2 linked regions of the Danio rerio genome follow. The protein of the gene in region 1 binds, or shares a complex with, the protein of each later gene. Links are inferred from orthologs where the notes say so. Each region holds a gene or a part of one and is shown on either strand. Other genes may lie near its edges. The genes, in order: ormdl3 and sptssa.

Region 1 (4,494 bases):
ACAAAGTATGTTCACAACCAGTCAAAAGTTTGGGGTCAGTTTTTTTTTTCCCCGAAACATTGTTACAAAAAAATACAAAATTAATTCTGTTTATCAAGGCGACATTTATTAAATATAAAAAAGTTAAATTGTTAAATATCTATTAAAATGTTAAATAACTGCTTTCGTATAGTATGTACTGTAATTTCAAATGGAACTATTACTCCAGGCATTATTGCTTTTATTACTATTTCCATTATTATTATTATTAATAATAATAATAATAATAATAACTAATATTAGAGTGATTTCTGAAGGATCATGCGACTCTGAAGACTAGAGTAATGAACTTGAAAATCAATTTTAAAATCACTGGAATAAATTATTAAATTATAAACTACTTTTGAACAGTCATTTTATAGTGCAATAACATTTGACAATTTTACAATCTGTACTGTATTTTTGATGAAATCAATCAAGTCTTAGTGACTCACTGCAACATACTGAAGTGAGTGACGGCTTTTAAGTGATATTCAAGAGAGAACATTTCCTAATTTTTATACTGTATACAATCCATTTGAGTTAGAACAAAATGTGTGTTTTGAGATCCGCTAAGAGGACCATGTGCCATGTACTGTACACATTGCACATTTTAAAAGTGACATGCTCAAAGTAATGCAGAAAGGAACTGCAGTGACTGACAGTGATAACCACAGCAATACATGGGAGAAAAATGTCATGTCAAAATGACAAGACAGAAGCACATACAGTGATATTTTTTTAGAAACTAGGTCTCCTTGCAAACTTGGTGCATATTGACATTTTTTATAATGATGACTTTTGCTTCAATTTAGAAGTGACAGAGCATTTGAATAGTACTGAATGCTGCAAACCTTATCAAATTAAGATTGCATTTGTGTGATAGTTGTGTGCAATACATACATTTTTAAAACATTGCAATAATATAAAAACATTTTGCTATGTCATTACAGGACAGGAGCATGTGCTGTTCAGGACTAAACACTGAGGCAATGGATTAAAAGTAATGTTGTAAATATTAATAAATTTCTCGCACACACTGATTATTTTGCTTCTTAAAAAGATTGTTCACCCAAAAATGAAAATTTACTCACCACTTACTCTCCCTCAGATGGCTCCAAACACTTTTCTGTTGAACAAAAAATATGTTATTTTGAAAAATGTTAGAAACCTGTAACCATCTTCCAAAGTAGGAAAAAATAAATACCATGGAAGTGAATGGTTACAGATTTCCAGCATTCTACAAAATATTTTGTGTTCAAAAGAAAAAATAAATAAATAAAACAAGTCTGGGTCATGTGGAGCTTGAGTAAATTCAATTTTGGTGTGAACTATCCTTTTAAAGCCTCATCAGGAGCCACAGCAATTTTGGCTCATCTGTATGTGTTTCTGACTCTCTACTAGTCCCAGTAGCTATTTACATGCATTTTGCAGATCATTAAAACCATGGTTTCAATTAAAAACATATTCTTAATGTTCTGCAACAGAACAAAGTCTCATACATGTTTGTTGGCTTGAGGTTCTATAAATTAAAGGGACAGTTCATCCCAAAACTGAAAATTTACTCACCATTTACTCACCCCCAAGTGGTTCCAAACTTTTAAGAGTTCCTTTATTCTGTTAAACACACACACACACATAAGATATTTCATTCATTCATTTTTTTCTGCTTAGTCCTTTTATTAATCTGGGGTCGCCACAACGGAATGAACCGCCAACTTATCCAGCATATATGTTTGTTTTACACAACAGATGCCCTTCCAGCTGCAGTCCATCACTGAGAAACATTCATACACTCATTCACACACATACACTATGGACAATTTAGCTTACCCAATCACCTTAAACCACATTTTTGATCTTGTGGGAGAACCGGAGCACCCGGAGAAAACCCACGCCAACTCAGGGAGAACATGCAAACTTCACACACAAGTGCAAACTGACCCAGCCGAGGCCTGAACCAGCGACCTTCTTGCTGTGAGTCGATTGAGCTACAAGATATTTCAAAGAAAGCTAAAAAACGATAACCACTGACAATCATAGTAGTAAAAACAAATACTACAGAACTCAATGCTTACCACTTAAGCTTTCTTTAAAATATCTTCCCTCATATTTAACAGAATAAAGTCATTAACAAGTAAACAGTGAGTAAATGAAGAGAAAATTTTTATTTTTGGAAACATTCCTGTTGTTAATTTTTCATTGTGTGTTTGTCTGTATGCTATTGAGAAACACTTTTATGACTTTTTTATGACAAACAATTGTGAAACTACTTTGATCACCACTTAGCAGAACAACCAGTGACCCAAACAATAATAAACATCAATAGCAGTCTACGTAACATGATCATAATGCTTGTTCTCGACATTTCTTACCATGTTGTGAATGAGGTTGGTGAGTGTCCAGACCACAGGCACACTGACGAAGGGTATGCTGAGCAATATGATGTGTAGCAGACCGATGCCCAGCACATAGGAGAGCCAAATCCCCCTGCTGTTCATCACGCGTGTGTTCGGGTTTACTTCGCTATGCGCCGTGCCCACGTTCATCCTTACTCACTACTATTGCGCACTTACTGTCAAACACAAAATAAACACGTGAAAATCACATTTACTTCACTGACGTTTACAAGCACTGACTGTAACAAGTCATACAACAAAAATGCCACAAATCACCATCAGCATGCAAACTAGAGAAACACAACGCAACTTCTGAAAGTGTCAAGCATTGATGTTATTTGATGTTATTTAAATGATGAGTGGGGCTAAGAACGAGTCACTTACTGTTCAAAATTGCGCAAGAGTCTTCACTAACCAGACAGAAAGTTGACAATAACTCCTTAGGAAGGAAATTATAACCTTAGTTCTCGCCCCCGTTGTAATTTCGTAAACGTTATCAGGATATCGTCCGCTCTGGAGCCTTTATGCAGTGTAGCCTTGCGGTTTTGCGCCCACGACACTTGACACGTCTGTTTATTTCATGATGTTTGCTTTCAAGCACTTTGTTCCCGTGCAAACAGATGGTGACAACACAGCAAGACTTCATCGTTTCACGTCATCATTTTTCAGAACTCACCTTTAGAAGGATGGAAATGTATTCATCGGGGTATCCGCTGATTGGACGGTGTGGGTCACGTGGAGGGTGTAGGCCAATCAGCGGTCGATGCGTTGATAATTTGCTGAAAAGTCGCACGCCCCCCCCTTCACGTCACAGAAAGTGCTAGTGAGGAGAGATTAGGCAATTATGCAAAAATACTGAGATTTATGGGTATGGTAGTTTATTTAAACGAAATATTGCACATAACGAATTAGCCATGATTGTTTTGTAGTAAGAAAGTCAACGGTGACAATTTCACAAGAACACTGGATACAACACAATGCATTCATTGCATTAAAGGAGTTGTTCATCTTAAAATGAATAATCACAATTCAGTCATCATTTAGATACTCTCCCTTGTGTGGTTAAAACTGTATGACTTATTTTCTTCTGTGGAACCAAAAAAGAGAAGCTTAGCAGAATATTAGTGATTAATATTCACAGTCACCATTCACTTTAATTTCATGAGAGCAAATGTAATGCCACCGAAAGGTGACTAATGCAAAGTCCTTAACATTCTTCTCACTTTCTCTATTTGTGTTACACAGAAAAAGAAGAAAACTGTCATTAATAGCATAACCTATATTTTATTATCAAAGACTTTTGAGAATTTAAAAAAGTCAGTTCAATAGAGTGAAAAGCTCTAAAATACTAAAATATAACTAAAATATGTCATGCTGAACAGCTTTCTCCCCAGTGTGGTCTGAAAATTGTAATAATGTGGGCATTTAATCGTCCTCTGACACAATTTCGTTGTTTGCTTTTGTTTTGTTTGTTCTTCCTAAGATTTCTTCTTTTTGGAAGTGACTTGGAAAAGTACTGTCCCAAAATATTCTTAAAGTTTCTCAAAATAAAATATACTGTTCAAAGAGGAAAAAAAGTTTTGTTTGTTACAATATATATATATATATCAGTATCATAAAACCGTGATAATTTTATCCAAGGTTACCATATACTGTCAGAATCTTATACTGACCCGAGCCTACTGAGTGGTTAGCACTGTTGCCTCACAGCAAGAGTCACAGCAGGGTCAGTTGGCGTTTCTGTATGGAGTGGAGTTTGCATGTTTTCCCCGTGTTGACGTGGATTTCCTCTAGGTGCTCCGGTTTCCCTTACAGTCCAAAGACATGCGCTATAGGTGAGTTGGGTAGGCTAAATCGTCCGTAGTGTATGTGTGTGCTTGTAAGTGTGTATGGGTATTTCCTAGTACTGGGTTGCAGCTGGAAGGGCATGTGCTGTGTAAAATATATGCTGGATAAGTTTGCAGTTCATTCTGCTGTGGGGACTTTTGATGAATAAAGAGACTAAGCTGAAGGAAAATGGATGAATGAATGAATTTTGTTCATTATTACTCTAAATTCAAAATTGACTACAAAAATG
Region 2 (3,662 bases), on another chromosome or scaffold:
CTCCTCGTTAAGTTTAGTATTGATTTGAAACTTTTGATGTTTGCTTTTAGTGCCATCAATGGCCTTGCTCCTATTTATGCAAATTTTTGCATGTGCACAAACCCAGAAGAGCTCTGTGATCTGCTGACCAACTCCTGCTTGAAGTCCCTCGGTCAACAAGCAGTGGGGTGATCGCTCTTTTGCAGTGGCATGTCCTAAAGTCTGGAATACCCTCCCTGCTGAGCTTCATACAATCCCTGACCTGACACTTTTTAAAGCCCAGCTTAAGACCCACTTGTTTAAATTGGCTTTTAATGCAGGGCACTGATGCTGTGTTTTAATGTTTGTGGATTTTATTGATATTTTTTGTACTGTTTTGCATCGTCTGCTTTTCTGTTGTGTTGTATAATTTGCTTTTACTTGTGTCAAGCACTTTAGTCAGCCGTGACTGTAGTAAAGTGCTATATAAATAGAAGTTGATTGATAAATAACAAGATTTAATTCAGTATTAAAATGTACTTATTTTACCACAAACAGGACACCTGAAGTGTAAAAGAAAATCTTTATTACAAAACTATGTTAATCAGTTGAGAAGTCAAGAACAGACTAAAATAATTTAGATTCAACATTTTAATTGAGACATACAACTTGTTTTTCATAACTAGAGGCAAGATTAATGTTTACATACCATTTACAATCTTCTCCATAAAGTAAAAGACTTATTTTCTCTTCAGGATTTTACAGTGAATCTGCTGAATAATTGTTCCAGAGCTCGAAGATCAAGGTAGATTACAGAAGGAGTTTACTGAAGTGTGTTTATGACCCGAGCAACCGGTTCTGAATGATCAACAATGGCGTCACACATCCGTCCATGACTCACAATGTCAAATCTGATCAAAAGTAGATCCAAAACTATACCAGAGATAACTCAAACCACGTCATTTCAGGTCAATAAACCTCTATAAAAATCTTACAAACATGTATACAATTAAATATACACATCAAAAAATAAGAATCATCTGAACAAAGCACTGTCATGAAACAAAACTGAAGCATTATTTAAAAACAAAGTCGTCATCCTATATATATCTTATTTATAAAAGGATACATTTGCAGACAGGGCAGTGTGTGCTATTACAGCGGCAGACTGTGCTGTTTACTGTTGTTCTCCTTCAGCAAACACAAGTGTCCATGTTTGAAGTGTTCATTTTCTTTCACGTGGAGAGGAGTTTTGGAGCAGTTCATTTTCCCGCCAACAGACGGCGGTGGCGCGCAGGATGATGATGACGATGATCCTGCTGGCTGTCGTCACTGGACCACTTCAAAATAGTGTAATATAGCCATAATGTGCTGCGGCATGAACACATAACCGGTGTAGACCGCCATCGCTGCCACTGAGATAAGCAGAGAATCTGAGATCATGGTTAAGGAAACCTTTATACAAGAGAAAATTCATTTACAACAACTAAACTGGATAAAAGATGGAATTAAATGGGGAAAAGGTAATGAAAAAAAAAAGATTTAAAATATATATTAATGATAATTATTATATAAATGAATTCCCAGAGATGGGTTGTGGCTGGAAGGGCATCCACTGCGTAAAAATATGCTGGATAAGTTGGTGGTTCATTCCGCTGTGGCGACCAGAAAATGAATGAATATAAATAAAATGACAGTAAAATAAGTACACAAAATTACAATGAAATAAATATGAAAATTGTACTAATGTTTGTAAAAAAAAAAAATAACTGATGCATAAGAGGTCAATGATATATACTAGGGTTGTCATAATTCTGGAATTCCATACCAATCAATACTGGCATTTTAAAAATGTCCATCTCACTAATATTTGAGCGCTGTGGAGCGTTCTTAAACACTGCTGATTTGCCACTGTGATCACGTGCTCAACACAAATGACTGTGATTGGCCATGAAGCTCATCAGTTCACCAAACTCACCACAGTTTACGGAGTGTAACCACAGAAACAGGGACACTGAAGTGCTTCAAAGCCGAGCTTCATCAGCAGATCTCTCGTATGTCTGCTTATAGACAAACCAGCTGATCGACGTGACTTTGAAGCGCTCCAGTGTCCCTGTTTCTGTGGTCACACTCAGTAAACTGTGGTGAGTTTGGTGAACTGATGAGATTCATGGCCAATCAATGGCTGTTTCTCAATATGCGTTCTTCAGCGGTCTTGCGTCCTCGTGTTCTCGTGTAACGTCATCATCAGCTGCCCAAGTTCAGTTCCAATACTCAAGACCGCAAGTACGGAGGACGCGTGAAACTTCCCGGATGTGATCTTGATATCGAGGACGCACCGATGCAGACTTAAGCACCGAACTCGCACTGGAAGTCCCAGAAGTCATTGCGACTGGAGATGGGAAGCGCAGCATTTTATTTAGATTTATTAATAAAGTTCAGAGATATAACTTATTCACCTCAGGAGTTTCCCTAAATGACACCGTGAAAGTAAACATTATCATGGACATCTTAATAAAGAAATAAACACATTAAAGGTGTTTGTTTGCTGAAATTCGTATTAAAATCAGTTTTATTTATATTGTGCGACATATATTTATAATGTTTTATGCAATTTTGAAAAGGGGAAAAACAATAAATCGTTGTATGAAGGCTGTAATGTTTAAATAATTTACCATTTAAAACACGTGAAGGTCACGTGACCATCAGGAAGAACGCAGCATCTCAATTCTCAAAGGACGCATTCTCTGCCCTCGCGGTCTCCTGAGTTCGTTCTTCCGAGGACACCTGGCAAGACCGGTCTCCACAAGAACGCAAGTCCGTTCTCTGCGTTCTTGGAATTGAGAAACAGCCACAGTCATTTCTGTTGAGCACGTGAACACAATGACCAGTCAGCACTGTTTAAGCATTCAAATGCTCAACAGCGCTCAAATGTTAGCGGGAAATGGATGTTTTAAAAATGTCAGTATCAGTTGGTACCAAATTCCAGTTTCGTGACAACCCTAACAGATACACACACATAAATAAATACAAACATATACACACACGCACATATATATCACACATGGGACGATAACCGAATTCAAAGTTCACCATGGTTTGGAAAAGTCAAGGTTTTAAAATAGCAGAGGAATTCTGTTAGACAGTTTGTTTGTTTTTTTATGACTGTTTTGTTGATTTTTTTTTTTAGGGCAACAGCATCTCCAGCAGTAAAGGACCCTCCACATCAAAAGCTACAGTGGTCAGCTTATGATTTAGAAAACAAATCACTTATAAACCAGCATCCAAGCATGCTATAGACCTGAACAATGCTTCTGTATTTCCAAAAAAAAAAAAAAAAAAGATCTCCAAAGACGCCTTTTACAAGTTGTAAAGAAATCTGTGCTTTTTGAAACTAATGAAGACAGCAGAGGTTCATCCTTTATTTGGATTATTTAGTCTGACATGTCATTCATTTATTTACTTTTCGTCTTAGTCCCTTTATTAATCCGGGGTCACCACAGCAGAATGAACTGCCAATTTATCCAGCAAATGTTTTACGCAGCGGATGCCCTTCCAGCTGCAAACCATCTCTTGGAAACATCCATACACACTCATTCACACTGATACACTACGGACAATTTAGCCTACCCAATTCACCTGCAGCATGTCTTTGGACTGTGGGGGAAACCGAAGCACACTGAGGAAACCCACACAAATGCAGG

The links.
Region 2: the proteins of ormdl3 (region 1) and sptssa are in contact, whole or in part, in a cryo-EM structure (PDB 7CQI), measured with the Homo sapiens proteins. The link is inferred for Danio rerio from reciprocal best matches to the Homo sapiens genes ORMDL3 and SPTSSA. Residues at the interface, in NP_001307730.1 of Homo sapiens: Val36, Leu38, Ser39, Ile40, Pro41, Phe42, Ser44; in NP_612145.2 of Homo sapiens: Ile44, Tyr50, Thr51, Val54, Phe55.

What each region holds. Positions count from the first base shown.
Region 1 is NC_133187.1:23,973,790-23,978,283, forward strand, and holds the start of ormdl3 (ORM1-like protein 3), read right to left. Parts: upstream 3,084-4,494; 5' UTR 2,802-3,083; intron 2,594-2,801; 5' UTR 2,568-2,593; coding exon 2,394-2,567; intron 1-2,393. UniProt on the Homo sapiens protein: Plays an essential role in the homeostatic regulation of sphingolipid de novo biosynthesis by modulating the activity of the serine palmitoyltransferase (SPT) in response to ceramide levels.
Region 2 is NC_133192.1:11,126,821-11,130,482, forward strand, and holds the end of sptssa (serine palmitoyltransferase small subunit A), read right to left. Parts: intron 3,325-3,662; exon of another isoform or gene 3,149-3,324; intron 1,392-3,148; coding exon 1,288-1,391; 3' UTR 528-1,287; downstream 1-527. UniProt on the Homo sapiens protein: Component of the serine palmitoyltransferase multisubunit enzyme (SPT) that catalyzes the initial and rate-limiting step in sphingolipid biosynthesis by condensing L-serine and activated acyl-CoA (most commonly palmitoyl-CoA) to form long-chain bases.